Rhinolophus ferrumequinum: one gene and its partners. The protein of the gene in region 3 interacts with the protein of the main gene of each other region in a biochemical or structural test. Links are inferred from orthologs where the notes say so. Each region holds a gene or a part of one and is shown on either strand. Other genes may lie near its edges. The genes, in order: NCOA6, TBL1X and THRB.

Region 1 (10,453 bases), on a different chromosome or scaffold from region 3:
TGTCTCATCTCCAAGTATTATGATCCTAACCCTTCTCGGCAGCCCCACTCAAAGGCCGCCTTTCAGGTAGCATTCTCGATTATCCCAGCTCTGTCACACATTACATACATTGCACACGACCCTTACACCTTGGCTAGATTCATCTTTGTATCCTACAGAGTTATAGACCAATGTACATGGTAGGGCTCAATAAATGTGTGACAAATCAATGAATTCCTAAACTTCCTCTCTGTCATCCAACTGCTTTCTTGGAAAACAGCTCTACATCACAAGTGAAAAGAGCTCTTCTCTACTACTTCATAAAACTGGCCAACTAATTTTCTTTTCTATCACCAATGTGGCAATTTCTAATGTAGCACCCAGCATATAGACAATGCCTAAATAGCCAGTGCTGTGAACTGAATTTCACCTCATCTTTTAATTTCAATTATTTTATTCATTCTGATCAAGTATGACTCAGCCTTAGACATAGATTTATTTTTTACCTGCCCACAAACTCATCTGTCAATTTCTGGCCATTTTGACCCTATCCCAATCATTTATTGATTTAGGAGAGATAATATTTAAAACCTCAGTAAAGTAAAAACCAGAAAATTAAATGCCTACAGAGTGATAAAAGTAAATGAGCAAAGCAAGTGAGTAGTGAGGACTACACAGAAAACCAGGAAACACACATCCCACTTAAAAGCTTTGGCTTTTAATGTAGTCCTATGAGAGAATATGGGCTTGGTGTTGACAAATCTGAAATTTGTATAAATTTTTAAGACATTAAGAGAATTGTATGAACCAAACAAAAGGTGTCTGCAGGTCAAATTCAACCACAGGCTGCATCTTGTGCTACAGAAGTTCTCCGTAAAAGAAGTGTTGAGGTAGAAGTTCCATCCCAGCAGACAGTCTAAGGCTACAGTTACTAAAACTAATCGACCACCCACCCGGAAGCATCTCCTGCAGTACCTAGCCTGGTCTCAACCACTGTTTTGACCTGAAAACCAAATTAATTCTATGACTGTGTTCAGTATATCGACTCTCAGCTTAGTGCTGGGAATCCGAAATGAACAATGTACTAAATAACAGCTAACATTATCAAGTATTTTCTAGGTCCCACACTGTTCTACGTTACATGAATTAACTCAATCCTCACAACGATCCTATGAGATAAATACTATCATCCTGTTTTAAAGATGAGGAAACTGAGGCAACTTGTCCAAGGTCACACAATTAGCAAGCAGTGGAGCTGGAATTAGGACCTCAGACTCCACTAAAAGAGCTCACAATTTGAAAACAGAGACCATTCAATAAATGGTGCTGGGATAACTAATTATACATAAGGGGGAAAAAAGTGAAACTTGGCCCTAACTCTCACCATACACGAGAGCCAATTTGATCTAAATCAAAAATAAATCAGTAAAGACTCAAGAAGATAATATAAAGAATAACTTCAAAATCTTGGGAGAGGAAAAGATTGATAAATTCGACTTTATTAAAATTCAGGACTTTTTAACACGAGAACTTAAAAGAGATTAAAAAGATCAGCAACAAACTGGGAAATGACACCTGTAATACATGTAACCAACAAAGGATTAATAATCAGAAAATATAATCTTTTGAAAAAGACAACCCAATAGAAAAATGGCAAAACAAGTCCCAGCATGGTCTAAGCTCTGAAAACCTGGCACTATCACAGTTGCCACACAGCAGACCCCAAAACAGACCTTGGCATCACTGACCAATATAAAATATTCAGGGGTCTATGTCATGCCTCAGGTACACAGAGTATGGGGGACCCAGGCAGAAAGACAGAGCCTAGATGGTTTTTCTCTATCGTATAGGAACTGGGATGGCAAACCAGAAGTTGAACATCCACATGCAGACACCTAGATCAGGGACTGGCAAACGTCTTTGTTAAGGGTCAGATAGTGAATATTTTAGCTTTGTGAGCTATATATTTTCTGTCACAACCACTCAACTCATCCATTGGTAGTGTCAAAGCAACCAAAGACAATATGTTCGAGTGTGCCAGTGTTCCAATAAAACTTTATTTACATAAACAGGTGGTAGGCCAGATTTGACTGATGGGCCATCGTTTGAGGACCCCTAACATAGACAGCTGTGATTTCCCTACACTCTAGGAATATTTTCCCTGCCTTTTATGTCTGCTAACACTTACCTCTGATTTCCTTAAGCAAAAACTACACCGCATTTGACAGCTTTGCAATGGTTTCCAAAAGTCTTTATGACTCTACCAAAAAACATCTTCCTTATTATCTGTGACAATTCTCACCTCATTTTCCTTTTATATTTTTTTAATCTCTTTGACAGCCACTATCCCACACTAAAAATCTGAGAAATTCCCTTTCTCATCACTCACAATGTCAATTATCAACACCTGAAAATTCTAATGCTGTTCAATGTTCAAAGCCTCTGCCTTTGTTCAAGCCCTCATTACTTCTTCCCTGCTCTCCAGTCCACCTTCCTGAAGAATATCCATTTATCTCCTAAAAATTAAACTTCATCATCCAGTCCCCTCCTTGAAGACCTTGAATGCCTATCAGCTAAGGATCCAGTTCAAACTCCTTAGCAAGGTCCTTCACAACCAGATTCCGACCAACTTTCTCAGTCTCATCTTTGACACCCCTCTCCCTCTCCTCCCTCCATCCCCCCATGGTACCCACAAGGTTAGGCCTTCCTGCATTAGAAAGACCCAGAACAAATGGATCATGTTGCTTTATATATGGATGGTATATACATATTGAATATCGAAAATCTTATTGCTATGAATGTCCTCGCAACCTTTTTGTTGAAAGTCCTTTTTGATTATATGGGAGCCCTATAATGTCTCATGACTGATTTGCATACCTTCCCTCAGAGCTCTCCCATAACCCATGTGAACTTTGAACTCTTCTCTATTCTGATCAAACTTCAATTAGCTTGATCATGATAGAGATCCTGGATCTCTACCATTGTTCAGTTTTGTTTTGTTTCTAGTTTGTGTGTGTGTGTGTGTGTGTGTGCCCCTTTGCTGTACAGTAAACACCTAGAAGAGAAGGCGCATCTCTTAAAACTTGAGAAAGTTAGAAGTCAAAAGGGCCCTGAAGATAACTTCTTTGCACAAATGGAGATGGGCTATAATAGAAATTATCAAATAGCTGGTTACCTATACATTTTTTTGTATCCCTCTGAGTCTCTGAAGTGACAAACTGATTACAGAAACAAAATAAATTAAGAGTTCTTTGATATAAACTGCCATGCTTGACTTGTTAACATTTTTCTCCCAGCTAGCAAATTCCTCTAAGGCAGGAGTATGTTGAATGAGGCAGCGACCTGAGTTCCAGTAACACCCTCTGCTACTAACTTTTAAGATCTTGAGAAGTCAACTTTACCTTTCCATGTCTCAGCTAAAATCACTACATCATCTGAAATCATTACATGATCTCTAAGGCCTCTGTCGTTTTTACACATTCATTCCTTCTTCACCATTCTTACTGGCTTCAATAACTTCTTTCTGATGACCTCCCCAGGTGACCCAGCTCTTAAAACAGTGGGCTGTCCCCTTCCAGGGAAGACACCTTGGGTCACCGCCCACAAACAGCCCGGTCCCTCCTTTTAAAGACACACACAAACTCTCCAAGTTGATGGAGGCTTTCTCTTTTTGCCAACCAGTTCCACTCTCTGCACCCCTTTTGCTGGCTAGCTCCTGCACACAACTGCAGTCTCCCTTTTTTCTCTTCCTTATCAAACTCTTCCCTTTTTGTTGCACCCCCCTCCGCCATAGAGAGTGGATAATCCTGGGGGCACCTATGTCCTCAGGCCCGTAGGAATTATACGGTCTTGTAATTCAGCCCCGCGACTCCAAGGACTGCCCCAATCTGATACCTGCGTCTGTACCCAAAGAGCCCCCATTTCTAATCAACCCCTTCCTCTTCACCCAAAGAAGTGCCACAGCCCTGACAGCCTGAACTCGGACCCCACGCCCCTCCGGGGTCCTACCTGCCCTGGGGTCCTGAACACCACCCACAGCCTAACCCAGTTCCAGGTCCTGCTCACCCAAGTCCCACAGACCCCGACCCCGGTTCCGTTTGGACCTAGTATCCCTAGTCCACGACCCTGGCCACGACCCCACGTCCGGCTCCCGCCAGTTCCTTGGACCTGGAACGCCACCCCATGCGTCTAGACCCCGGCCGGCCCTGCACTCCCTCAATGCCCCAGACCCGGCGTCCGACACCCTCTTCAACCCGGCCGGGCCTCCGCTCCCTCCAGCGCCCCCGCCCGCCGGCCCGGGGCCCGCTCCCCAACATGGCGACGGGGACACGAGCCCGGCGGGCGGGCGGGGCGGCTCCCGGCCAGGCCCGCACAGAAGCCGTGCCGCACGGCCAGCCGGCGCCATTTTCCCGCGCCAGGCCCGGGCGCCGTCTCCTTCTAGCGTCGCCAGCCGGGCCGGGACCGTGGACGCCCGGCGGGCCCACCCCTTACGGGCCAGCGTCGCCGTCACCTCACCTGAGCGCGGCCCCAGCCCTCCCGGGCGGGCCTCGGAGCACCGGCCCGGGCCGTCCGTGCCCGCGGCCCTCCGTGAGTGCGTCCGTCCGTCCTCGCGTGCGCCCGTCTATTCGGCCGTCGGCGCCCGGCCGCCAGCAGCCCGACCCGGCAGGGCCTCAGGGAGCCGGCGGGGAGGGGGATGGGCCGGACCGGGCCGGGGAGGGAGGGGGAGGGAGGGAGAGAGGGAGGGAGTGCGGGAGGGGGCGGGGCGGGGCGGACTAGAGGTGGGTGGGGCTGGTCACGTGACCAAACGTCCCCGAGCGCGCGAGGCGGAGCGCGCACCGGCTCACTTGGGTGCAGACCTTAGGGCCCAGACAGGGTGGATCTGTCTCCTGTAGCTGCAATATCGCAAGTGGCACCTGCCCCCACTTCAGAGTCACTGTGCAGCCCTATAGGTGCCCTCTGGCTGAGTGTTCTTGGGCAACTCCGTTCTCCAAGCCTCAATTGACCCATCTGAAATACGGGGATAATAATACCAAAGAGGAAATGAGGAAAGCATGGAAAGCACTTGGTACAATGCCTGACAGATAGTGTCATATGGTGATAAAGATAACCTTTAGCCTTTATTATTATTTGCCTATAAGTTCTTCTCTGTCTTTTCCCATCACCATCACCCCAGCAAGCTCAGTAGGTGCCCTCCCTGCTCCTCAAATGTAGGAAGGCCTCTCCAGTACCGGACCTGATGTCTGTCATGCAGGCCTGGATTCAAGGGCAGTCCTTGGAGTCGCGGGGCTGAATTACAAGACCGTATAATTCCTACGGGCCTGAGGACATAGGTGCCCCCAGGATTATCCACTCTCTATGGGGGAGGGGGGGTGCTACCAATTCACTCTTGGTAGCTGTGTGATTTTCTTTGTCTCTGAACCTCAGTTTCATCAGCTGTAAAATGGGAATTAAGGGTCTGTTTCTGTGATGCAGAAGCATCACAGAAGACAGAAGACGAGCAGATGGATTGTAAACTGATTGCAAAGCTCAAGAATACTGGTCTCATCTAAGAAAAGGAGTCTTTCATTCCACGAATATTTATTGAGCACACACTGTGTGCTTGACTCCCCTCCAATCTATTCTCCACCCTGCTGTCAGAGTAATGTCAGTAAGTCAGAAATCTGATCATGTCCCTCCCCTGTTTGAAACTATTTGATGGTTCCACACTGCTCTTAAGGTAAAGACCAAATAGATGTCTTACTGTTGTTCTTCCCACATCTCCAGACTTATCTCAGGGCCCTCTTCCCTTGTGTGGACTGCAACTACAGTGATCTCCTTCACATATTGCATTTCCCCCTTCTCAGGACACTGGCATATGCTGACCCTCAGCCTAAAATGCTCTCCCTGCTAGATAACTCATCAGCCCTCAGATACCAGCTCACACATTTCTTCCCCAAGAGCACCTTCCCTGACCACTCACTTCCCAGGCGGTTTCTCTTGCTTGTTCTCGATAGGATGTACTAAGTTGTTTATTCCGTCTTTACCACTGACTGGACTGTGGACTCCATAAGAAGAGAGACTTTGTCCATTTTGTTTACTTCTGTTTCCTCAGCACATAACACAGTGCCTGGCACAGAGGAGGCGCTCAATAAATATTTGTTGTAGGTATGAATCCTAGCACAAAGTGCTGGGCCCAAGAGGGCAGAGAAAAATAAAGAGAACCACACGCGGCCACAAGGGGGCACCTTAGACTTTTGAGCCTATGAAATTAACACCAAAAGGATTTACAAAAAGAGCCTGGAAAAAAAGTTTTTTAAAAGATTTTTCTTTTAACTTTTAAAAAGTGAGGTATAATTTACATAAAGCAAAATGCAAACATTTTATGTGTATACCTAATAAATTTTTGCTTATGTTCCTGTGTTACTACCACCCAGATCAAGTTACAGAAATACCAACCCAGAAAGTTTCTTTTGTTCTCTCCCACGACCCCTCCCAGTCAATATTGGCTCCCCCAAAGGTAACCATTATTCTAACTTCTAGCACCTTAGATCAATTTTGACAGTTCTTGAACTTCATATAAACATACAAGCATGTACTCTTTTGTGTTAACCTGGAAATCTGGTATATGCAATCTGACATGTATCTTTAGATAATGATACAATAAATGAATTACTTGGTTAATTAATTAATATGAAAGACCAAATGAGAAACTCTGGTTATTTTATCCTGCAGAAACAAGGGTCCTACCAGAAGCCAGGTAACAGGTTGAGATGACATCATACACACCTCCAAATCTCATGAAAGTTTCTAGAGGTAAGAAAGCTCTGAAAGATTCTACAAGATTCTCGTAGGACAACAAAAATCCAATTTAAAAATGAGCAAAGGGGGGTGGTTCTCATAAAACAACAGAAATTCAATTTAAAAATGAGCATAAGAGGGTGGCTGGTTGGGTCAGTGTTTAGAGCGCAGTGCTCATAACACCAAATTCGCTGGTTCGATTCCCACATGGGCCAGTGAGCTGTGCCCTCCACAATCAGATTGAAAACAACAACTTGACATGGAGCTGATGGGTCCTTGAAAATACTGTTCCCCAATATTCCCCAATAAAAATTTAAATAAAAATGAGCAAAGGACTTAATAGACAGTTTCCGAAGAAGACATATAAATGTCCAATAAGCACATGAAAAGGCATTCAATAGCATTAATCATTAGGGATGGCTATTTAAAAAAAAAAAACAAAAACAAAACCACAAATATTGGTGAGGTTATGGAAAAATTGGAACCCTTTCACATTGCTGGTGGGAATATAAATGGTGCCACAGCTGTGAAAAAAAAATTGGTGGTTTCACAAAAAGTTAAACACAGAATTACCATCTTTTCCAACAATTCCACTTCTGGATATTTACTCAAAAAAAGTAGAAGCAAGGACTCGAAGAGATATATGTACACCCATGATCATAGCAGCATTTTTCACCATAGGCAAAACATGAAAGCAACCCGAGTGGGTAAACTAAATGAGTTATTTATATACAATGGAATATTATTCAGCCTTAAAAAGGGCAGAAATTTTCACACATGGATATACCTTGAAGACATAATGCTAAGTGAAATAAGGAAGTCACAAAAGGACAAATATTATATAATTCCTTTTATATGAGATTCCTAGAGTAGTCAAATTCATAGAGACAGAGTAGAATAGTGATTGCCAAGCACTGGAGGGAGGGGAGAATAGAGAGTTACTGTTTAATAGGTACAGTGTTTTAGTTGGGGAAAATGAAAAAGTTCTGGAGATGGATAGTAGTGATGGTTGCACAACAATGTGAATGTATTTAATGCCACTGTGCACTTAAAAATGGTGTAAATGGCGACATTTGTGTTGTATGGATATATTTTTTGCCATGATTTAAAAAATACACATATGCCAGAACCTGAGCCACTGTCCTCATTTTTTTCACCTTGTTATCAATGTCCTTAAACTGAAGGTCATGGGTTTTTCTGGGATTAGCAAGGATGCAGGGAGCTAGGAGACAGGGGCCCACTTGGGGACCTACACATCTGATAAGTGAAAACAGCAGGTGCATAGGCAACACAAATATTTGTTGCCCACAGGAAGGTAGCAAAGGAACAAAAACAGGCCATAGACGGCACTAACAATAGCATAGTGCTTACAAGACTGGACTTTGAAGCCAAAATACCCAAATTCAGATTCTAGTGTTGCCATTTATTAGTTATGTAACTTTGGGCAAATCCAACCTTCTTGTTATATACATGAGGAAACTGGGATCAAACAGAGAAAAATGACTTGTCCAACAGAGTCCAAAGTATTTTCTCCTTTATTTTGTTTGTTTTTTAATCCTTAACGTAGTTTTTATTTTATGTCCCTAATAGACTGTACCCTTTCCCAAAGAAAGTATTTTTGTAATATCATCACCTGTAATATAACAACTTTTTTGTGCTTCAGTTGCCTCATTTGTAAGGTGCAGATAATAAGGGTACGTTACAGATTAGAGGATTAGAGGATTAAATGAATTAGTAGAGGATTAAGTGAATTAGTACTTGTAAAATGTTTAGAAGAGTACTGAGCACTTATGAGGACTCAACAAGGAGCAGATTAACAGAGGTCTCTAAGGAGGTTATCAGGCTACTCACAGTTTGTTATGAGCAAGAAAAGCAGTCCTAAGACATCCAAGATATTCTGGATTCAGATTTGGGTAAAGAAAAAGCAAATCAATTGTTCTTTGATGTGAACAATTTGATTAACATTTATTGAACTTCTACGTTTAAATGTTTGTCCAAATGGGCTTATGCTTTGTAGTAAAAAGATTGATAGTGGATACTTGAACCACATCTTTAACCATCTAGAGAGCATCACCATTTTACTCTCTGCAGGGTTCATCACAACATTTCCAAACGACAAGATAACCACGTTTAGTTGGACAAATTGTGTCTTTCAGGAGGACATATCTAAGTGGGTGCCATTCACTGGTAGACATTATAATTATAAATTTATTGTGATAATTTACCAGCAGATGGCAGTAAAGTATCTTTTATTATAAAATCAGCTCAACAATTTTCAGACAATAAGAAATAAAGTACTTTGAAGAGGGGTCTACTTTATATAAAGTACTTTGTATAAAGGCTTCTACTTTGTATAACGGCTTAATATGGGCTTACTCTTAGGAACAAAAGATTGAAAAGTAGAAATAGAGTGTTAACAACACAATTGAAAAAAAATTAAAGAGTATCAAGAAGTGACCCCCCCCACAAAAAAAGGAGAAATATTCGTAGAACTTAAAAGCCTGTTTTGAAAAATATTCTGAAATTTTAAAACTTTTTGTTAGAGTATAAGATAAAGACATAAAAATACACAAATCATAAGTGTATGAAGCCTGATGCATTTTCACAAAGTGAATACACATCTAACCAACTCCCAAATCAAGAAAGAGAACATTACCAGCCCCACCAAAGCCCCTTCAAGTCTCCTTTGCAGTCATTACCCATGTCCCTGAAGGTAAACAGTATCCTAACTTCTAATTCCATAGATTAGGCTTGCTAGGTGTTAAACTTTATATAAACAGAATCATGTAGACTATACTTTCTTGAGTCTGGCTTCTTTTGCTCAATTTTGTTTTTGAGCTTCATTTATATTGTTGCATATACGCGTAGTTTGTTCCTTTGCATTGCTTCGTAGTATTTCATTATTTGAATATATCACAGTTTATTCTACTGGTGATGAGCATTTCAGTTTCCACTTTAGGTCTATTTTTAATAGGACTACTGTGACTATTCTTGTACATGTCTTTTTAAAACAGCTTTATTGAAATATATTTCATATACCATACAATTTATTCATTTAAAGTGTACAATTCAATGTTTTTTAGTATAGTCACCAATAGGTACAACCATCACCACAGTCAATTTTTTTTTTTAAGTGTATTTTTTCAGGACCCATCAGGACCAAGTCAAGTAGTTGTTTCAATCTATTGGTGGAGGGCGCAGCTCTCAGTGGCCCATGCAGGGATGGAACCAGCAACCTTATTAAGAGCACTGCGCTCTAACCAACTGAGCTAACCGGCCACCCCACCACAGTAAATTTTTTAGAACAATTTCATCACCTCAAAAAGAAACCCTGTACTCTTTAGATATTGCCCTTCTCCCTACCCTCCCCCCACTTCCCCATCCCTAAGCAACCACTACTTTGCTTTCTGTCACTATAGACTTGCCTATTCTGGATAATTCATATAAATAAAATCACACAGTATGTGATCTTTTGTGTGTGGCTTCTTTCACTTAGCATGTTTTCTGTGTTCATCCTTGTTGTAATGTGTCAGTATTTTCATTCCTTTAATGGCTGAATAATATTCCATTGTATGAATATACCATATTTTATCTATTCATCCATTGATAGACATTTGGGTTGCTTTCACCTTTTGGCTTTTGTGAATCGTATTGCTGTTCATGTACAAGGTTTTGTTCGAACACTTGTTTTCAGTTC
Region 2 (10,236 bases), on a different chromosome or scaffold from region 3:
GCTCACCCACCGCAGGGCCCTGAGAGGAAGCAAAAGTGAGCGCCAATGACAGAAGGCTGATACGGGAAGTCACCTCACTGACAGACACAAAATGGGACTTTTCCCCCACCCTCATTTACAAATAAAATGTCTAACCTGTTGCTATAAAAAAATACAAAGAACTATGCAAACGACACACCAACTAAGTAATAAAAATAACATCCTGACTCAGGGACCGGGTGTACAGGAAACAGTGAACACTCAGACATTTTTTTTTTTTGAAAAAGAAAATACTTCGACTATTGTGAAGTCTCACTTTGTTGGAACGATTCCTTGCCAGCCTTTCAATACGTTAAGACTTTGACCTCAAGCGACTGAGCCGTACTCCTTAGTACCTGAACTTCAAGGGGCGGGTGGTAGCCCAAGGTACCCACAGCAAGCAAAGATTTGAATATATCAGATGAGCCTCTCAATCAGCCACACGGGGACTCAATGATGGTGACACCAAAGGCTCCAACCAGCCCAAGGGATATTCACCACCAGCCGCTTAGGCAGGCACATGGGGACTGATGCTATTTTTTCAGATGGGAAAACTGAGGCACGGAAACGTTGAATTCCTTGCCCGAGGTTAAACGTTCAGACGCTAGCTCGCGTTCTGGTTTTCTGATTCAAAACTGATCCGAAGCCCCTCAATCTAAAACCCATAGCTGTCAATTTCAGGTGAAGAATCCATTCACTGAAATCACTTCCCTGGGTCAATTGCTGGCTGAAATGGGTCTCTCTCTTTTAAAAAAATATACCTGTGACTTATTTCAAACGATTTCTCCTCTCCCCTCACGAAAAGCACACTGACTCTCTTGTTTTATTGCCATTGTAATAACTACAAAGTAGGACCCTCACACAGCAGTTTCTGGAAGTTCTGTGCTATCCAATATGGTGGCCACTAGCCACAGGCATCCACTGAGTACATGAATTGAGGCTAGAATGACCAAAAGGGACAGAGCCGTTCCTTTCATTGAATTCTAATCGACCCTCATTATGCACACGTGACTGGTGGCCGCCACATTGGACAACACAGCTAGAGAGGAAAACAGACGGTTCCTGATTCTATTGAGAGATGTTTATACGTATACACAGATTTCAATGTAGATTCTCGTTTGTGAGTGTGTGTGTGTGTGTGTGTGTAGACTCGTAATTTAAACAGCTTTTTTCTCCAAATGGGAAAATTCACCCTAGGTAGTCAGGAAGGCAAAACAAAAAAAGGCCAAGCTTACGAGCTGGGCTTTGGGAATCAGACAACCCTCCCTCCACGACTATGTATTGCCAAGTTACTTAACATCTTTCAGCGTCCTATGCTGTGGCATGGAACTTGCTAGTATAGAGTTAGGCCCGGGAATTCCTTGGGGCATGGCATTCAAGTCGCATAAAGACAACTGTTCTCTTTGCACCAAGACCAACAGCTAACATTTACAGGCCGCTTTCCATTCCAGTTCACATACATTCTCTTCCCGTCCTCACACTGCCTAGTGAGTACAGCGATTTCAGTTCTCCTTTGTATTTTTACACACAGAAAAGTAACGCTCAGCAAGGTGCAGGACTTCCAGAGCCACGGTGGAGCAGGAACAGGGTGGACTCGTTCAAATCACACAGGGATAGCCAAATGTCACTGGTCATGATGCAGTTGGACTCCAGGACCCTATTCACCACTGTGGGGGCCACAAAGCCCATTGAAAGTCTCCTAACAGGAGGCAGACTCATGATGTCATCACACAAACGGAACGCTGAAGCTCCCAGAGATACAGATGGGGGTCCAGGCCCAGAAAGACACCAAACATTCTCCTTACCCAAGACGCCCAACCTTTCAGGAAGGGTGGGGTTTGGCAGATTTAGGGATCCACGTGTGACATTTAAATGGGGGTGTTGATAGTTCCTGGACTGACCGAGCCCTGGATAAAAGCACAAGAGTCAATCCTAGAGGATTCGCAGACACGTGCGCTGCTCTTGGCGAGTGGCCCCTTCCCACGTCCCACTGTCCCCTAAGGGGGCCCACCTTGCTCCTGGTGTCCCTCTGGGCCTAGCAGAGTATCTTATCTGGGTACATTTTTGAATAAATGTTTATCCATCACTAAAAAAGGGGAGGTACCTCCTTACTAAGATACTGTTGTACAAAATCATGCTACGGATACAACTGGTGAAAGCACCCCAGATTTTGAAACATTCACTTTTGGGCATCTTCAATAATACGGTGATCATTATTATTGTTGTTATTTTGCAAACAGTTTCTTCTTTAAAACTACTGGCAGAGGAAAACATCACTAGCCCACTGAAGGGGCAAATGTACACCACCAAATAAACCACCAAAAATCCCCATTTCTGTCCCACAGGTGTGTGTACACGGAAGAGCTGGAATCCCCTTGAGGGGCTATTTTAATAAGTGGCTCAAGTGACGAACTTCAACTTTTATCCCTGGATTATTTACCCAGCTGGGTGGTTTTCCATCAAAATCTGCAGCACATTTGACACATAGCGTCCTTTAAAATAAAAGCGTCATCTTAACGTCGTAATTGTTCCATACTCCAACATTTTTTTTCCCCCTAAAAGCATCTTTTCTAGGAATGACTAATTCTAAACTTTTCCTAAAATCGTCCAGAGCCATTTGTACCCCAAGCCACCGCTGGGGACCTCAGCAGGGCGTCCCCCTCCCTCCAGGTTTGGAGTCCCGCCCCTGCGCTTCCAGGTTAAACCAGGGACTTGGGCGGCGCGTCAGGAGAGAAAAACATCCAGAAGTCAGGTCAAGCCACATGTGACAATGCAAAGCAGAGACAGCTGCAGATGCGATAGGGGCTGGGTGGGTGGGGGTTTTGTTGTTGTTGTTGTTGTTGTTTTTTGGGGGGTATGATCCACAACATGACCTCCGACTCTAACTTTCTGGAATTTGCCATGCAGTTGTGCGGGAAAACCCCAGGCCAAGCGAGGAGCGAGCCCCGGCCCGGGCCTGACCGCGCACGGGCGACGCACGCGAAGTCCAGGCCCCAACCCATCGCGGGCTGGCTTCTAGTGACCCCCAATTGTCACATGCCCGGCAGCCACCGACACCCGAAGACGCACCCCCACCCGGTTCCGAGGACGGGTCCCCAGTGGGGAAAGTCCCTCCGGGAGCAGGGCCCGGGACGCGAATCTGGGGTCACCCCTCCCCCTAGCCCGGGAGCAACAGGTCTGCACCCTCCCCAGGCCGCGCTTTGCAGACCCCGCCACACCAGGGGCGACCCCCACACACCGAAGTCGCCCCCAGCCAGGTCCTCTCGCTCGGGCCGGGGGGTGGGGGGGTTCTGACTTCCTTGACAGTTTCTGCGCCTCGGAAACAGAGCAGCCGCGGGGCCTCGCCCGGCACTCACTCCACGGCGCGCCGCCGCGCGGCCACCCGGTCCGGGGCGGGCCGGCCGGAGCCCGGGATGAATGGGGCTCCCCTCCCCCACGGGGGAGCCCGCGGCGCCGCAGCTTCGCCCACCAGCCCCAGGGGCGGCAGACAAAGGGGACCCGGGGGCAAATGGAGCGCCTCCCCAAACTTACCGGCCGCCTCCCACTCCCCAAAACAAAGAAGCCCCCCCACGCGCCGGCACTTTGGGGAGCGGCCCCCTCGGGGTATTGTTCAGCCTGCAGGGAGCGCGCCGCACCCCAACCCGAGCCCCGGGGACAGTTGGGGACCTGCCCCTCCAGAGCTCCGGCTGCGGGCGGAGCGTGCGGGCGCCCCGAGCCGCCGGCCAGGCCCACCCCCGCCGGAGAAGTTTGCGCCCCCCCGCCCCGCGCCCGCCGGCCGGGCCCCGCGCACTCACCTCGCCGCGGGCAGGGCAACTTGTGGGGCGCCGCCGCGCCGAGCCTCCCTCCGGCCGGCCGTCGCCGAGCCGGGCCGAGCCGCGGCCGAGGAGGGCCCGGCGCCCCGGAGCAGCCTCGCGCCGCCCCCGGGCCGCCCCCGCCCCGCCGAGTCCCGTGAGGCGCGGGCGCTGGAAAGTTTCGGTGCCGAATGGCGGCCGAGGGCGCTGCGGCGGCGGGGCGGGGCGGGGGCGCTGGCGGCTCTCGGCTCCCGAGCGCGGAGAGTGGGGGGGCCGAGGCGGGAGCGGCGGCGGCGGCAGAGGGCGGGACGGCGGGAGGGACCGGCACGGGCAGTGACCTCAGGGGGGAGCGGCCGCCGCCAGAGCGCCGACCCCGGCCGGGAGGACTGCCAGGGGGGCCGCCTCCGCCGCCCCGGCCCGCCCCTCCCCCAGCCCCCCACACCGGGGGAGGGGCACCCGCGTCCCCTCCGGCCCCTCCCCTGCGCCCTGGGGGACCGCGTCCCAAACCAGACCCTCCCCCACTGGGGGTAGGGACGCCGGGCCAGCCCCTCCCCCACGGCGGCGAGGGTGAGAGTCCGCGCCCCAGAACTGCCCCTCCCCCGCGGCCTCTAGGGAGGACCCGCGTCCCAATCCAGCCCCTCCTCCACGGTGGGGGAACCTGCGACCCTGCAACGTCCCTCACCCCAAGCTTCCCCTGCCCCCACGCCTAGGGTGGGTGAGGGGAAACCGGGCCTTTCCCTACAAGCTCTGAACCCAGTCCTTTCCCCGTGGCCTCCATAGGGAGGAAGGGAACGCGGTCTACCCCCACCCAGTCCCAAACCTCAGTCTTTACCCCACTGTCGGGGTGGCGGGGACCGTAACCGGGGCCACCACCCCCGAGGTTTCTCCATAGGGGAAAGGAACCCGGGCCGGTGCTAGAGTGTTACCCTCCCCCACCGCAAAAAAGAAACCGCCCAGTTGCCCTAACAGAACCCTTGTAACCTGCCCCAGGGGGCATGTCCCTCAAAATCCGCGGCTTAGAGGACACCCCAGTGTTCTCTCCCCCTCCCCAAAAGGTGGGGGCTCAGGTGGAGCCCTCAACCTTTGCAAAAACAGCTACAGGGAAGGGCCAGAAACGCGTGGGGAGAAAGAAACTCAGACACACGGAGGTGGAGGCCAGGAGCTGGGGTGTGGGGGTTCCGGGAGTTGGGGGGAACCTCCTCCCATCCTTATCCCCACCCCCACAAGCAGGCTTCAGACCTCCCTCGGGCATTTCCAAAGTGTTTTATGTTGCAATGGCTTGCTTGGCCCAGCCCTGGTGCCCCCCAATCCCCAGCGTCCCTTCCTCCCCTCCACTTCGGTGACCACTACCCACCCCACGCGGCCTTAATTCAATGAAATAGATACCCGCGCCCACCCCAAGCACCTTCAGTGTCTGCTTTGTTGAATATTTTAAAATAAGTGTGCCCCTCCCTTTGGTGTACACTGAGCTTCCCGCTAAGAGCCCAGTACACTCAGCATTTTAAAGTGTAACCTCACTTGCTCTTTTCTGGGACACTGGACCATTTGTTGTTCTGGTGGCCGAGGGAAGGGGGCCGGAGGTGAGCTTTTAAGGGGCTGGTCCTCCATCAGAAAGGCGGACCTAAGATTTACCCTGCCATATATTGCTGTAAAAGGTCAATGATGTAAAACGACTGTTGCTACACCATTATTATAGAGCACGTCAATAAAAAATCCACACTTACACAGTCTCCATAATTGTGAATCAGCAGAATAGATTGTGTCTTATTACGTATCAGTTGCCATTCAAGACCACCCCCAAAAGGACGTGGTGGGGCCTTCCCTCGAGCCTGCCCTTCGTTGCTCCCGGACTCCCTGGGCTTGTGCGGGCTGATGCTGAGAGGTATTACATGCAATCGAAAAACCGAGGGTGCAATAGAAAACCCGAGCGAGCTCATGATGCAACCCTGCCCCGGTTACACGTGCTTCCCCTCCCCCACCGCCTGCTGAGGGTAGCGCGGCGTTTTTTCCGCCTGTAGGGTCACATTGTGGTTGATTGATTCTCCTTTCGCCTGGCTCAGTCATTCAGATTTGGAAAGTAAATAACAAGTTGACATCATTACAGCTTTCGGCTTTACCCGGACGCGGCCCTCGGCTACCGCAGTCTCTCGAGTAACCGCGCAGCCAAACTGGCCCTGTCTGGCTTACCGGCTCTGCCTGTCTTTAGCCGCTTGGAAATTCCAAACTGAGCTTGGTGAAAGGCCTCTTGGTATGTTTTGATTACTTGGCAGATGCCAATCGTTTAAAGTGTGGGAAAGGGATGGAAATCCTCGCTCCAAACTATGACCCAGTGTGACCAGTTTTTACAGCTGTTCTTGGGTAACTAGCAATGCAGGTGAGCTCAGAATCTGCCTCGCCTGTTTGATAATGTCCCAATAATCCCAACGGTCTTCTTGCAAGTCAGCAGCTTAGTGCTTTAATCGTAGACTCAAAGGAACCCCACCCTCTCACCCCCATGGGACTTTGTAAGACCTCAGACAGGAAGAGACAGACTTATGTTTATCGTAATATCACCGAAATTCCTCTTTCTGAAATGCTAGATGGTGGTAGGTAGGTGGTAAATTAGACTACTTTGTTTTACTCTGTTTTGCAAATTTTGCAAGGGTGCAGTCCTGTAAGATGGGAGAAAACAAGGAAAGAGGGAAATAAATTAGAGCAGGAAAGGGACTAGTGCTTTCTGATAAAAGTAAATATGAGGTCGTGAACAGCAGTGATTTCTACAGGTAGACACAGCACAATATCTGCGTATTAAACAATTACTTTTCCTTGCTGACGGGAGGGAGCCGGAGTATAAGAATCTGCTTGCAACAAATGCTATCAGCATTCCCCTTAAGCAGTAGCCAAAATGTTAATTGAAAGACAGGAGGAACCCACACCAATATATTCAAATAATCTCTGGCAAAGTAGCAAAGGAATTTCAATGGCAAAAGAATATCCTTTTTAACAAAGAGTGCTAGAAAAACTGAACATCCATATGCAAAAAAAAAAATAATAATCTAGCCACAGACCTTCCACTGGTTTAAAAAAAAAAATTAACTCAGAATGTAGAAGGCAAAAGTATAAAACTCCTAGAAGATAACATGGGAGGAAACATACAACACCCAAAGCATAACCCATGGGGAAAAAATTTGATAAGTTGGACTTTATTAAAATTAAAAACATCTGCTCTGCAAAAGACACTCTTCAGAGCATGAAAAGATAAGCCACAGACTGGGTGAGAATATGATATTTGCAAAATTCGTATCTAATAAAGGATTATATCCAAAATATACAAAGAAGTCTTAAAACCCCACAATAGGAAAATAATCCAATCAAAATAGGCAAAAGAGCTGGGGAAAAAACACACAAAACACACCCAAGAGAGATATAGAGATGGCAAATCAGCATATGGAAAGATGATAACCATCGTATGCCACTATCGTATTGCACACGATAACAAAACACCACCATACAGCTATTAAAATGGCCCCAGAAAAGGTTTTCAATGACAACACCGAAAGGTAACAGCATGCACTCTTTGCTGGTAGGAATGCAAAATGATATGGCCACTTTGGAAGACAGTTTGGCATTGTCTTACAAAGCAGGCAGTCTTACACAATCTAGCAACCATGGTCCTAGGTATTTATCCATCTACATGAAAAACATCCACACAAAAACCTACACAGGAATGTGGATAACAGCTTTACTCATCAGCAGACACTGAAAGCAACCAGATGACCTTTGGTAGGTGATGGGTATGTCCACTGTGGTCCATCCAGACAATGGAATATTATTCAGCACCAAAAAGAAATCAGCCATCAAACCAAGAATGGATATAGACAAACCTTCAATGTATGCTGCTAAGTGAAAGAAGGTGATCTGAAAAGGGTACGTGCCATAAGAGTCCCACTCCATGACATTCTGGAAAAGGCAAAATTAAAAAGATCAGTGGTTACCAAGGGTCCTGGGAACGGGAGAGAGGAAGGATGAATAGGCAGAACCCAGGGGATTTTTCAGGGCAGTGAAATATTCTGTATGATCCTGTGATGGGTACGTGACGTTTTGCATTTGTCCAAACACGTAGCACTGTACAACACAAAGAGTGAACTCTAATGGAAACTATGGGTTTTATCAATATCGATTCATTAATTGTGACACCTGGGCCACACTTAGGAAAGATGTTAAACTGCAAACGGTGTATGAGGGGTGTAACAAGGAAACTGTGCACAGAAACTCTGTTCTTTAAAAAATTGTCTTTTTAGAAAAAAGGTCGTAGGAAGGGGTATTAAAGTTATGAGAGTTCTTGTGCGACTTACTGCCCAGTTTTCCTTGAATCCAATATCTGATTTCCCTCAGGCCTCAAGACCTTAGAAAACAGCTGTATTTGGAGCTACAGCCTTTCATGTTGGGTAAATAAGTTAATGCGGTCGTTAGGATGAGTCCCGATGCAATGTGACCAGAGTCCTTACAAGAACAGGAGACGAGGACAGAGACAGGCACAGAGGGAAGACCACACAAAGACACATGAAGGAGAAGGCGCTTTGCAATCCAAGGTGAGAAGACCTGAGAGAAACTTCCTGCCTCCAGGATCGTGAGGAAATAAATTTCCGTTGTTTAAACCACCCAGTCTGTGGTGCTTTGTTACCGCAGCTTTTGCAGACTAATGCACGTGAGTTGTTGCTATGTTTTTCCATTTGGAATGTTACCTTCCGTTCACATCATTAGAATCCTGAAAATACCTTGTATTTGGGATGGGGGTGTTCATGCACCGTATTGCATTTGATCCCCCCAGTAATATTGAAGGGCAGGGACTTTTTTATGTCCAATAGTCAGAGGAGAAAACTGGACCCAAGAGGTTAAAAAGTTAAGGGGGTGAGGGAGTGGTGATCATGTTTATGCTTCAGACCCTCTTTGTCAGCTTAGTGAATACTGTTTCTAAATGCATAAAATGATACATGAAATATATTAAATACTACATAGGACTACAAAGAAATACATTTCCGTTAAAATAGAGTTATCAAATCTTTCAAGAATTCTAATTAATGCAAGCGCTTCTTCCTCAGTACGTAGTTCCAGTGGGAAGCTCTAGAGGTGATTCCTATCTTTTCAAAGTAGGGATGAGGGTAAACAGAACCTGCTTCAACTATAGCCTGCTCTGAAAATATATCAGACTTTTCTGTCGTTGACAAATTGGTGACAAATTAAAGACACTGTAATGCCAGAGCCACTCATCCTCTATAGTCGTAGTTGTCGGAAATGCTGCATTTCAGTGAGTGGTTAGTGATCGGAAAGCTGCCCCTGGAAGTTCATCCACCACCTGGAATCTCTCCCTGGGGCCCTCCTGCCAAGGGAGAAATTGCAAGCTGGAATCCAGGGCCCTCTGTTGCCCCTCTCCCTGCCTGGTTTCATTCATGCCACCACGATGGGTCCCTCCCAAGGGACGTGGGACACCAGGGTGGGGCATGTTTAAGGAGGTGCCCAAAACTCAGTCGTCAGGATACATAATGTCGTAATGCCATTTGTTAATACTTAAAGTATCAAAATGTTAGATGAAGACGGGATCTGACCTTGCCGTTCCAGGCACTGGGGAGGAGGAATTAACCGGCAACATTGCCGGGTCGATGGAGCCTCTGTTCCAGGATGGGAGTAAGCAGCTCGCATCTCTATGTTTGGGCTCCCGGCAAGCTAAGGATACATTTTTAAACAATTGGAGGAGGGGGGAAAAAAAAACATCAAAAGAGTAATGATACTAAAAGAAAGAATAATGATACTTTGTGACATGTGAAAATTATATGAAATTTGAATTTCAGTGTCTATAAATAAAGTTTCAGTGCAACGCAAACACACCCACTTGTTTTGTGCTCCCAGAGATGTGATGGCAGAGTTAAGTGGCTGAGACAGACCCCCCCGGCCCACAAATTGTCAATCATAGTTTCTGTGTGGCCTGTTACAGAGTTTGCTGACCCTTGCTCCTAGGAGACTGAATGATTCCAAGTTCTCACACAGCGTGTTAACATCTTCCTAGGAAAATCTTTTCTTTATTAGAGTGTGTTTTCAAAAGAATTCCGGAATACATTAAAGAACACCTTTTTTATTCGTACTTAAGAAAAAGGAAGAGAAAAATGATGGTGGAAAGGAAACACACACTGTCTTGAGGAACCAAGCTCATCCTGTTTGCGGATGGCGATGGACTCTAGAAAAGCAAAAATGCCTGGGGACTCGGCCATAGTCACCCATTCAGAGAAGGCAAAGGCCATCAGAAGGACTCAGCGGAATTAAATGTATTCTAGTGGGAGCAGACGCTGGTGAGCAAAAGAAGAACTGAGACGATAGTAACTGTATGGTTTTTCTATCTAACAAAGTTTTCTAAACTTTTCAAAGGTGACCTCACCTGTTGTCATAGCAACCT
Region 3 (10,280 bases):
GAGGTGGTATATGATTGAATATCAAATAGAAATTGAAAATAGAACTATCTAATCCACACAATAACGTGGACCTATCTCAAAAACATTCCATGGAGTGAAAGAAACCAGATACATGAGGGATACATTGTGTGATTCCATTTATATGAGGCTCAATGAAATAAATGATATTAGCAAAGCTAATAAATGGTGATAGGAATCAAAACAGTATTTACTTCTAGAAAAGAAGTGGTTATGAACAGAGGAAAGGTACAGATAAACTTTCTGGATTGCTGGAAATGTTTTCTATCTTGTTCGGTGTGGTGATTACACAGGAGTATAAGAATATAAACATTTATCCAACTGAACACTTAGGATTTATCTATTTTACTATACATAAATTACACTTCAATTAAAAAATTATTACTCTGAACATTTTTAAACCACATTTTGTTCTGGAGCTATGTCCATATTGGTGTGCCTAGGCCTAGCAAATTATTTTAACAGTATCTATTTAAAGAAAAGATGATTTATGCTCTGATGGAGTTTGGCTTGGCTGATGGGTATGTTGGCATAACACTAACTACTGGAACAGATAAACTTTCATATTTCAGTGGCTTACCACAAAAGAAATTGATTACTCAATGACTGCAACCGTTCAAGGTGAGTCTTCTCATTCTCTTCCACATGGTGACTAAGGGACCCAGGTTCCTTCCAGCTTATGGCTTACTAGTTCCTGCCCACGGGCCTCTGAATCTTCTACCTCTAGTTGGAAAACAAGGGAAGAGAATGTAATTAAGGAATTTTCTAGGTTTCTAGCTGGTAACATGAGTGTTTCATTTCAGCCTTTTCTGATTGTCTCAATGCACAGCAGCCCCTTAAGCGAGGAACTAGGGAGATGTCTCGTGCTTCCCAGAACATGCTCACATTTTCCAGCCCCATGTGCCTGCCCCATCACTCCTTTTCCTGCACACAGATAGCACGATGGGTGGTCGAGAGTACAGCCTCTGCCACCACAGTGACTGAGCCTGAGCTTGAACAAATTAGTTGACCTTCCTATGTCTTTGCTTCCTCATCTGGAAAATGGAGTGCACAAAAATACTGCTTCACAGAGTTCTTGGGCAATTTTTTTTTTTTTTTAATGTGTGAAATACTTAGGATAATACCTGGAACATAATGCATGTTTAATAAATATTAGCTATATTATATACTGCTTGCTATAACTGGCCATGCCAGAATGTCTGCTGTACCTCCAACATGCGCTAGGCTTCTACCATGACAAAGGACCCAGTTCCTTCTCCAGGGCCAGCTGCTTGGGCGTGCAATCTGTGCAGATGCACAGGGCCCCATGCTCAGAAGGGTCCTGTGCTCCAGGCCTGGCACTTAGTTTAATGCTCTGTTTCCACCATCATAAAACTCATTCTAATTTCGTCTTTGAACTTGTGTTTTGTAAGTGACATTTGATGGGACAATGGAACACGTGCATGAGCAAAGGCGATACACTCAATATATATGCTCACAGCTGTTCTTTGCTGCTGCACTCATATACAGCATTCTTGATGTCCCTTGAGCACAGAATTCCAGTGGCCTCACGATGTGTGAGAGGTCAGCAAAACGCAAACTGTGTACACGGTAAGCACGTTACATCTATGACTCAGTAAATGCGAGCACTGACAACCCCAAGAGGCCATGCTTTCCATTCCAACCAGAACTTGCTTTGAATGCAAAAAGAAGGCAACAACCAAGGAACTCTATCATGTGCTTTCTTACTAGTGTTACTTCCCTGTATTAGCTAACCTTTTACTATGAAAATGATGACATTGAACGATAAGGCAACCCATAGTTCCTTCTCCTTTCCCCATAGTTCTTCCTTACTCGTCAGTAAGTCAGAGTGTTGGTAGAATGAGCACATGTCAAGAAGTAAAGTAAAAACAGTTCCATTAGTTTTGTGCTGTGTTTCCCCTGTTCTGATAAGAACAAAACATATGTGCATATATAAACTCAGAATACGTATTACATACTAGCTACAAAATACAAATTGTGTAAGTTTGTTGATTTCACATGAGTTAAATGCTCTTATATTTGCATTTAAAACTAACATTGCATGATGTAAAGATGAACAGTAAAATTGATGCTAATAATTTTAAGTATTTATTTTTCTATAGTTACAATATTAAATAGCAAATAAAAAATGCCATGATGATGCCAAAGAGGGAACATGGAAGAAAGGAGATAGCTTTACATATTGTACTTTTAATGGCACTTTTTTTCCTGCTTTTTGAATAAAGGGCCCCACATTTTCATTTTGCACCAGGCCCTGAAAATAAGATAGACAGCTGCATCTTTCCCTCTCTCTGACTTCCCCCAAATTTTCACCCCGCTGTCTTCTGCAGGAAGTCTTACCTGAGCCCCTCATTCTTCGTGGATTATTGCAGCCTCCTCACCCGGAATCACCTAGCAATTTATGTTTCTATATTTCTCAGTACACCTTCACATTTAGAGTTAATTTTGAACATGTCATCTCCCCTAATAGTCTGTCTTTCCTGAAGGGAAGGGACAGACTTGGCATTTTTATCTGTCTGGCCATGGACCAGAATCATTGGGACCTTCACAAAATATATTCCAAGAACTAACAATGAACAGATAGAATCAGAATCTCCAGGGCTGGGTCATTTGGCTGCACAGCTAGCTTGAGAAGTTGAACTGAGTTGTTCAATGAATGAAAGAATACCAATTGTTCCAGGACCTGAAATGGTCATTCCTCTTGTTCTAACACTCCCTGCTAAAATCTGGTCTATTCTTGATGGACTGTTTCAAGTGCTACCTAGTTCTGTGAAATCTCTGAGTTTCACTCTCACCTCACCCCCATCACCCATTGTACCCCCTAGAATAAAATCAGGAAACAAAAATTGTGTGTTCTGTTGGCAACCCTTCTTTACCATCAGAGGGCCAAGTCAAATGGAATCCTAGTAGTTCATGCTGTTTCAATAATGGTGCATTAAAATTTTCCTCCTCCATTGTTATAAAACATTATTGCAATCATAGTCTCATGAATTGTTTGAATAATACCACATTATTTATTTAATGCTTAATTTACTCTATATTTCAGAAGTTTCCAGGCAAAATGAGATTAGAAAGACAAAGCCATTTGAACAAAAGACAGCAAAAGGATTTGTTATACTTCATTCTCTGTATTTCTCTGGTGTTTCCTAATTAAGATGGAATTTAGCTCCAAGATATACTCAGGAAGAGAAAAAACTAAAAAGGTCCAGCAGCCTTTAAGGCCTATCATCCACTTTTGTAAAGGAAGATTAGCATCACCCCTCACACACCACCACCACCACCACCACACCACCACCAGCAGCACCACCACCACCACCACCACCACCACCACCACCACCACCACCACCACCACCATCTCCTCTTCCTCCCATTATTACAAAGTTGTTTACCCGCTCCCGGCCCCTGTGAAAACGCGGTTGTCAACTGTTGTGGCCTATCAGAGCCAGGCTTTTTCCTCAGTGGCCAACTTTTTCATTCACACTTAGCCACCAGGGGGCCCCCTGTTTGGAACAAATGGTGCATACTACACAGTTTTCCTCCAAACCAACCAAAACATCCCGGGGCAGCTTTGGCAGAAAGTTCAGGAACTTCCTTGCAAAGGCGAACAATTTCTCTCCAGCTACAAAACCTTCAAGTCCTATGGTCTAGCCTTACGACGAGTAAAGAATGAAACACGGATTTATTGCCAAAGACCGAGGAGAAATAGGGTCCATGGAGTCTAAAGGGAGAGGCTCCTTTCTCTAGCTAGGGAGCCTTAGGGTCTGCGACTTTCTCTGGAAGCGCGCTGAAACTGTGCTTCAGGCGCCGGGAACAGTTTCCGAATTCCTGACAGTTGTGATGGTTAATGCTGTATGCAGGAGTGGTGGCTTCTCGCCCTTTTCCGTGGGATACTCACCAGAAGCTGAAATAAAACACACGTCACTGGCTGGCAAACTAGAAAACTCTCAAATAAATCATTCATACATTGTTCGGGCAGTTGAGGATACATACAAATCTGTCACATTGTTATATGAATAAATGTGTACAGTGAATAATGAAGTCAGAATTCTTTTAATATTATCTATAAGAAAATAACTACTACTCTGGTCAAAATAGTTTTGTTGCAACTATAGCTTCTCAACGACTTCATTTTAGCTTTTGGGGGGTACTCAGTAGTTTTATAAGCATTCTTCTGGCCCAGAATGTAGCTGCCTATTTCATTTTCTATCAATCCATGGCCTTCAATGTGTTTTTTGGGGAATGGGGGGGGCACTTAGAAATTCCTATTTGCCTGGGCAGAACTTTTCAAGAGTATAAATTATTTTTGTCTTCAGTTTTATTTGTACATGTCCAGGGTAAAAACAAAGTAATAGGGTAGCCCTTCTGGAACCGGTGGAGGGTCAACCACGGCACACATCTCCCAGGATATGCATAATAGTGTGAGGATGTCTCCATCAAGAGCAAGCCAGGTATTTTCCAAACTTCCAGTCCCGAGAGGTGGTGATGGTAAGAGAACGCCAGACGGCGCGGCCGGTGGGAGGCCCCAGGAGGGGCCAGGGCGCTGTGTCGGCCCCACAAGCGCCACAAGTGGTTTGGAGAAAAAGGGAGGAGCGCAGCCCGGCGGGGCAAAAATAAAGCCCCATACTTCTGGAAGTCACCTCCTCTCCGCCCCACCCCCACCCACCCTCACCCCTGTCACTTGTCCCCCATTCCTTCCTCTTTGCCTGTTGAGGAATGACGCCCAAACCTGAACCTCCGCGCGCGCGCCGCTGGGTGGGTGGACGCGCGGCCACCAAAACCACCGCAACATCGCCACACAGGGAAGGGCACCCTGGGTGGAAGGCACAGCTGGGACTGGGAGGAGGGAGAGCAGCCGAACCTGGGGAGGCAGGTGTGGAGGCGGGCAGCCCGAATGGTGTGTGCGTGGACGCGGGGCAGGGGTACGCGAGCCCGGAGGGCTGGACAAGTCAGAGAACCCGGCGGGAGCCGGGCGGGATCCGGGAGGGGCGCGTCGGGTGCCAGCCGGGCGGCGGCGGCGGGGCGTGTGGCCGGGAGGCCATTTCCTCGCTGCGCCCCTGGCGGAGCCGGGTTTGCCTGCTCTTGGCCGCCGCCGCCGCCGCCGCCGCCGCGCGAGTCGACCGCCGGGAGGGCTGGAGGGGAAACCAGGTCACCGGTTCGCAGAAGCGTCGCAGAACGGGTGTCCCGGGATCGGAGTAAGGCAGCGCCCGGGGAGCGGGCCGGGGCGGGCTGGGCGCGCGGGGGGCCGGGAGAGGCGGGGACTCCGGTGCCCGGGCCACACTCGCTTCCTACGCCTATAAAAGTGGAGTGGCAGGGGAGGGCTGACGCGGCCCTGGCGGCGGCCGCCTCTCTTCGCCCAAGGAGTTGACATTTTGCAGGACTCGCGCGACGTCCCGTCGCCGCGCTCCGCGGGACCCGGCCGCCCGGAGGAGGGGGCGGAGGAGGGTGGAGACTGTGGGGCTTGGCCAAGGAAGGCGCACATCCTCGGGCAAGCGGCCGTGACGCGGCGGGGATTAACTTTGCATGAATAATGTGAGTGCGCTTAGAAAGGAGACCTTCTGCTCCCCGGGCTCGGGGCAAGCGCCCGCCGGCTGCCTTCCCCCGGGCAGGGGCGCCCAACCCATCTGGCTCCAGGGCACTGGTAATTTGGGGAGAGGACCAAGCAGAGGCGGAGGTGCGGGGCGGGGGTTAAAGGGGAGAAGGGGGCGACAGATCCAATGTCCAGAAGGGTGGGCAGGACGGTAACCGGGGTGTCGCGGGAACCTGAGCGCGCGCGGGCGGGCGTGGGTGGGTGGGGGTGTCAGCCGCCCTATTACCTGCCTCCGCGGGGTTTTTGCGCCCCGGATCGGGAAAGAGGTGCCCTCTCGTGTTAGGGCACCGTGCGGCAGCTCTCAGGGAACCAGAGCGTGGGCAGTGGTAGAGCAGGGTGGCCGGGGGCCGCTCCAATCGCGGTGGCTGTGTTCCTCAAACCCCAACCCGGCTGTTGACAGGCTCCTTGTGAAATGGAGTTTGGCATCCTCAGCGCCGAACCGAGTGGAAGTTTCCATGATGAAGAAGTTCTGTGACACGGGGGTTCGGAAAAGGTTGGCAAACACGGCGGGGGGAGCGGTTTAAGGGGGCTGTAGGCCCCCCATCCCCCTTTTTTTTCCTGCCCCGGAACTGCCGGGTTTGAAAAGAATAATCCTGAATGTTGGCGTGCGCTGTTACCGGTGCCTGGCGACTTGGCTTCTCCCCGCCTCCTTAGGGAGTCGGTGGCGATTTCGTTAGCCTCCTGGGTCGCACTTCTTTGCTTCTCTTGACGCAGCATCTTCCTCTGAGTCGCTTGAAGTTGGTTCTGATACCAGGAGTTGTGCCAGCTGTGCGCTCCCCCCACCCCCGCGCCATCCTTCGGACAAGGACTAATTTGGGGGAGTTTTTTTACTCCTGGTGGATTTTGACCTTCTTAACTGCAGTTGTCATTTGTAGGATTTCCCAATGACCATTGTAGGATTATTATTAGTGCTAATTCTTAAGCCTTCCGATTTGTTGGGGGGAGGGGTAGAGGTGGGGAGCGTGGGGTGAGTTTTTTATTTATTAAAGGTTAAATGTATAATTTTCTCCAAAGGGGAAATTTTCAAAGGTCTAGACGCATAACAATTTGTAAAAGTGAATCAAAGCAAGAGAAAAGCACTTACCTGAACAGAGAAGTTTAGATTCTCCATCCTCCCTGCTCCACAGACATTTGGAATATGTGAAGATTCAGACACTACCCCAATTAGTAAATAAATTTGAAGCAGTCTTTTCCTCTTAGCATGTTACTGGTCTCAGGTGCTAGTGAGATTCAGTTTTAAAGACCTGTTCTGAAGTTCAAAACCATAAAGCATTCCTTGGACAGTATTAATATTGGAGTACAGCAATTCTTATAATGATCAATGTATTGGGTAATGCAGACCTTTTGGTCAATATCTTTACATTATTTTGCCTTATTTTAGTTTAGTATGCTTAGTTACATTGTAATAATATATAGCATGCACTGGTTTACAAAGTAAAAATTGCTATTTAGTCAAAATATTCCATGATTCATTCTGAATATTCACCATGACTGCTCCCTAATTCACTTCTATTTACCTCTCTTATTCTGAAACAAGTCAGGGACTAGGAAACTTTTTTTTTTTAAAGGTGTTTTGATGAAAAGTAGTTTGAGTAATGGATGCTTTTAGGAGTTTTCATACCACTTGGCTAAGTGTTTTGACTCTAAAAGAAATTCAATCGTAACTGATTTGTTTGGGGTTTTACATGGGAAGTCTGTGATTGTTAAACAGATACTATCAGAATTTTATTTTTAATGAATTTCAAAGTTTTGTTATACATTGGAAGTGGGACCATCTGCTAGTAAATATGATTTGCTTTTATTTTTCGGTGAGTGAAAGTAAATGATACTGAATATAGCCACAGAACTATTCTTTTTTGAAACAATTCCTGTTGGCATTATAATTCAAAGACATAATTTTATTGATATTGGAATATTGTTTTATAAAGTACTGAATTTACAAGAGGAATAAGCATTCATTTCTCCCCTATGGATTCTTTGTAGCAAATTCTGCTATAGAGATAAATTAAGACAACTTCCTTTTAATCTACGTTTTTGGGAGAAGGTGATTTCTTAAAATTTCCTTGAGAAAGTGGTGGATTCCTTTGCTTTCCTGAGGTTTTTGCAGTTGTTTGAAGCTCGGGGTGTGTGGAGTCACAAATAGGATTTCATGTTTCTTTTTTTAGTAAGCTCATCTTTTTTATGGAAATCAGAATAAAAACATTGGTTTCTTTACCTCCTTTTGTCATTCTAGTGTAAGATTACCTGTCAACTTCTTTAAAAACCTTTCCCTGATAATTTGAGCAAAGTTAGTCCCCCACTCCCTCTCAGAACCATCACACCATTTTTTTGTTTCCTTTTTTCCCTTTCCTTCATCTTGTTTACAATCTGAATTGTTCATTTCAGTTGGTACTTACTGATTACCTGTCTCCTGTGTCTAGAATATAGAATCCATGAGAAAAAGAGTTTTGACTGCTTCTCCAGCATCTTGAATAGTGTTTGGCACACAGTGGGTTCTGAATAATTTTTTTTTGAATAAATGAATGGTTGTGCCCAAACATTATGTTTCCCAAAGTACCTGACTAAGCTTCCTAAGTGGGTACCAGTTGGGTATGCCAAGATCTGTTCCTGTGTATGTGTGTGTGCCATGTATATATGGTTCAATCTCAGTATCTCTCTCTCTCTCTCTGAAAGCTAGCCCTATTTTGTATAGTGACAATACAGAGAGTTATTTCTGCAAGTTTTTTACCTGGGGGCATTTGCCTTGAGTACACAGAAATCCTCAGCAGCAGTTTGTCTTACTTTGATTCTCTGAGACTTTGACCTTCAACACTATGGGTTTCAGCAGAATTTTTATGAGTTCCAGAGGTATTGTCAGCGCTAAGAGTGAAATTCCAGGGAACAGACATCACTGGGTGATCGGAATGCCTTGTCACTTAGCAGGTTCTGGCAGTGTCTTTGGCAGCCCTAAGGTGACCAAGGACACTTTGTGGTATAGCTGGTCTGCAAAAGTGGTGGATGAGGAAGGGGCAAATGGGACTGTCAGGATCCCACACAGGGTAGAAATAGCCCTTGAGGGTCAGTTTGGAAATAACCTGGTGGTTCGCCTGTGTTGTAAGTTAAGTCTGTCATCCTCTCCCTTTCCCTCTTTTCCCACTTCCATAAACGGATTTTGACCAGACGACTATGGGAAATACTGGATTATCTGTGTTTTCAAGTGACAGAGGTGTGATACCCAAGGGGTTATCTTCAAATTAGCTATTCATGTAAATTCTTTTGACAGTTGAGACTAACAGGAAATTACAATTGATAATTATGGTCATTTGTTTTTATTTTTTAGAGTATCAACTTTCAGAAATATGGCTGAATAAATGCATAGTAAAAAATTCCACAAAACGATGAGACTGGTAAAAATGATAAGAGAAGAAAAGTTTAAAACCTTATAGAGGAGCAAAGATAATTAAACTGAAATCCTAAGTGCGTATTGCTTTTTAAGTATTTAATTTAGTTCTGAGCTTCTCTGTAGCCAAGTTACTAGAAAAAAAAGGAGAACTGGAGGTGGCAAGTATGTATTCAAGTTGTAAGGATAGATCAGATAACATTTGTAGAGTGCTTATTATGGTACCTGACAACTAGTATATACTCCTATGAAAGATCAAATCATGTAATGGCCAATACTTGAACTTCAATTCTATAGAAAATGAAGTAGGGTTCTTTATATGATTGTGTCTTTTACCAACCTTAGAGGGGAAAAAATGGAGAAAGCATAATAATGAAAAGTAACCCAGTGAGAGTTAATCTTTGGAGCCTGATCTGCCATGGTCCAGCGGTAGAGATTCTAGAGATTGTCCCCAAAGCAGAAATAGAGCTCAGAAAACCTAGAGGAATGAATGGTTAACATGTTCTTTAGGCTGACTTTCTCAAATATCCACAGTCTCAGCCAAGCTTTTGACTAGAGCAATCTGAGAGGACAGGACAGCCAGGTACTTGAAAATGACACTATGGTCATAAACCTCTCTGAACAGGTGTCCTTGATGATTTGTGCTGTCGTCTCTATACTTCACATCACCCTGCAGGGTGGTTTGTTTTTAGTGACCATTTCTGTCTCCCCCACTAAATTGTCATGAGGGGGCTATGGGTTGATTCATCATTGACTCCCCAGCAAAGGACTTGACACATGGGCACAAAGAAATGCTTGTTGAAAGAATGAATCGATGATGAGAAGAGGAGGAAGGTGCTTCTCTTTCTCTTCTGATGTTGGTATTAAGTGTCATCTTCTGACTTGGTTGTGCCCAAAGTGAATGTTTGCTGCCTGGATTGCATCATCTGTCCATACCACAGCTGAATATTTTGCTCGAAGGGCTTAGTCTAGTGTCTGAGCTGGTTGAGCAATGGATGGCAAGTTAACTCCTTGCTTTGTTTTAAGGTCAGTGTGATTACTTGATTTGGTTCCTCATTCAGTCTCTAAAAATTGGTGTACCTACTACATGCCTGACCCTATTAGTCATTTAAGACAATATGCATATATTAATACACAGGGATTCTAAAATAGTTTACACTGTGATGAATGAATCTGCCTATTGGGTCTTTTAGATGAAATAATTATTTTCCTCTGAGGATTGGTTTGTGGTTTCTGCAGCCCATGTGTATTAGTGTAAATTACAGTAGCATTCAC

What was found.
Region 1: the proteins of THRB (region 3) and NCOA6 form a complex in vitro, tested with the Homo sapiens proteins (2 studies listed by BioGRID). The link is inferred for Rhinolophus ferrumequinum from reciprocal best matches to the Homo sapiens genes THRB and NCOA6.
Region 2: the proteins of THRB (region 3) and TBL1X form a complex in vitro, tested with the Homo sapiens proteins (2 studies listed by BioGRID). The link is inferred for Rhinolophus ferrumequinum from reciprocal best matches to the Homo sapiens genes THRB and TBL1X.

Annotation. Positions count from the first base shown.
Region 1 is NC_046306.1:20,473,066-20,483,518, reverse strand, and holds the start of NCOA6 (nuclear receptor coactivator 6), read right to left. Parts: upstream 4,700-10,453; 5' UTR 4,567-4,699; coding exon of another isoform or gene 4,294-4,566; exon of another isoform or gene 4,286-4,293; intron 1-4,285. Other genes in the region: ejaculatory bulb-specific protein 1, read left to right, coding at 4,294-4,566, 6,393-6,475, 6,691-6,727. UniProt on the Homo sapiens protein: Nuclear receptor coactivator that directly binds nuclear receptors and stimulates the transcriptional activities in a hormone-dependent fashion. Coactivates expression in an agonist- and AF2-dependent manner.
Region 2 is NC_046284.1:119,929,637-119,939,872, forward strand, and holds the start of TBL1X (F-box-like/WD repeat-containing protein TBL1X), read right to left. Parts: upstream 3,926-10,236; 5' UTR 3,813-3,925; intron 1-3,812. UniProt on the Homo sapiens protein: F-box-like protein involved in the recruitment of the ubiquitin/19S proteasome complex to nuclear receptor-regulated transcription units. Plays an essential role in transcription activation mediated by nuclear receptors.
Region 3 is NC_046300.1:24,400,807-24,411,086, forward strand, and holds the start of THRB (thyroid hormone receptor beta), read left to right. Parts: upstream 1-5,555; 5' UTR 5,556-5,677; intron 5,678-5,693; exon of another isoform or gene 5,694-5,710; intron 5,711-6,026; 5' UTR 6,027-6,081; coding exon 6,082-6,119; intron 6,120-10,280.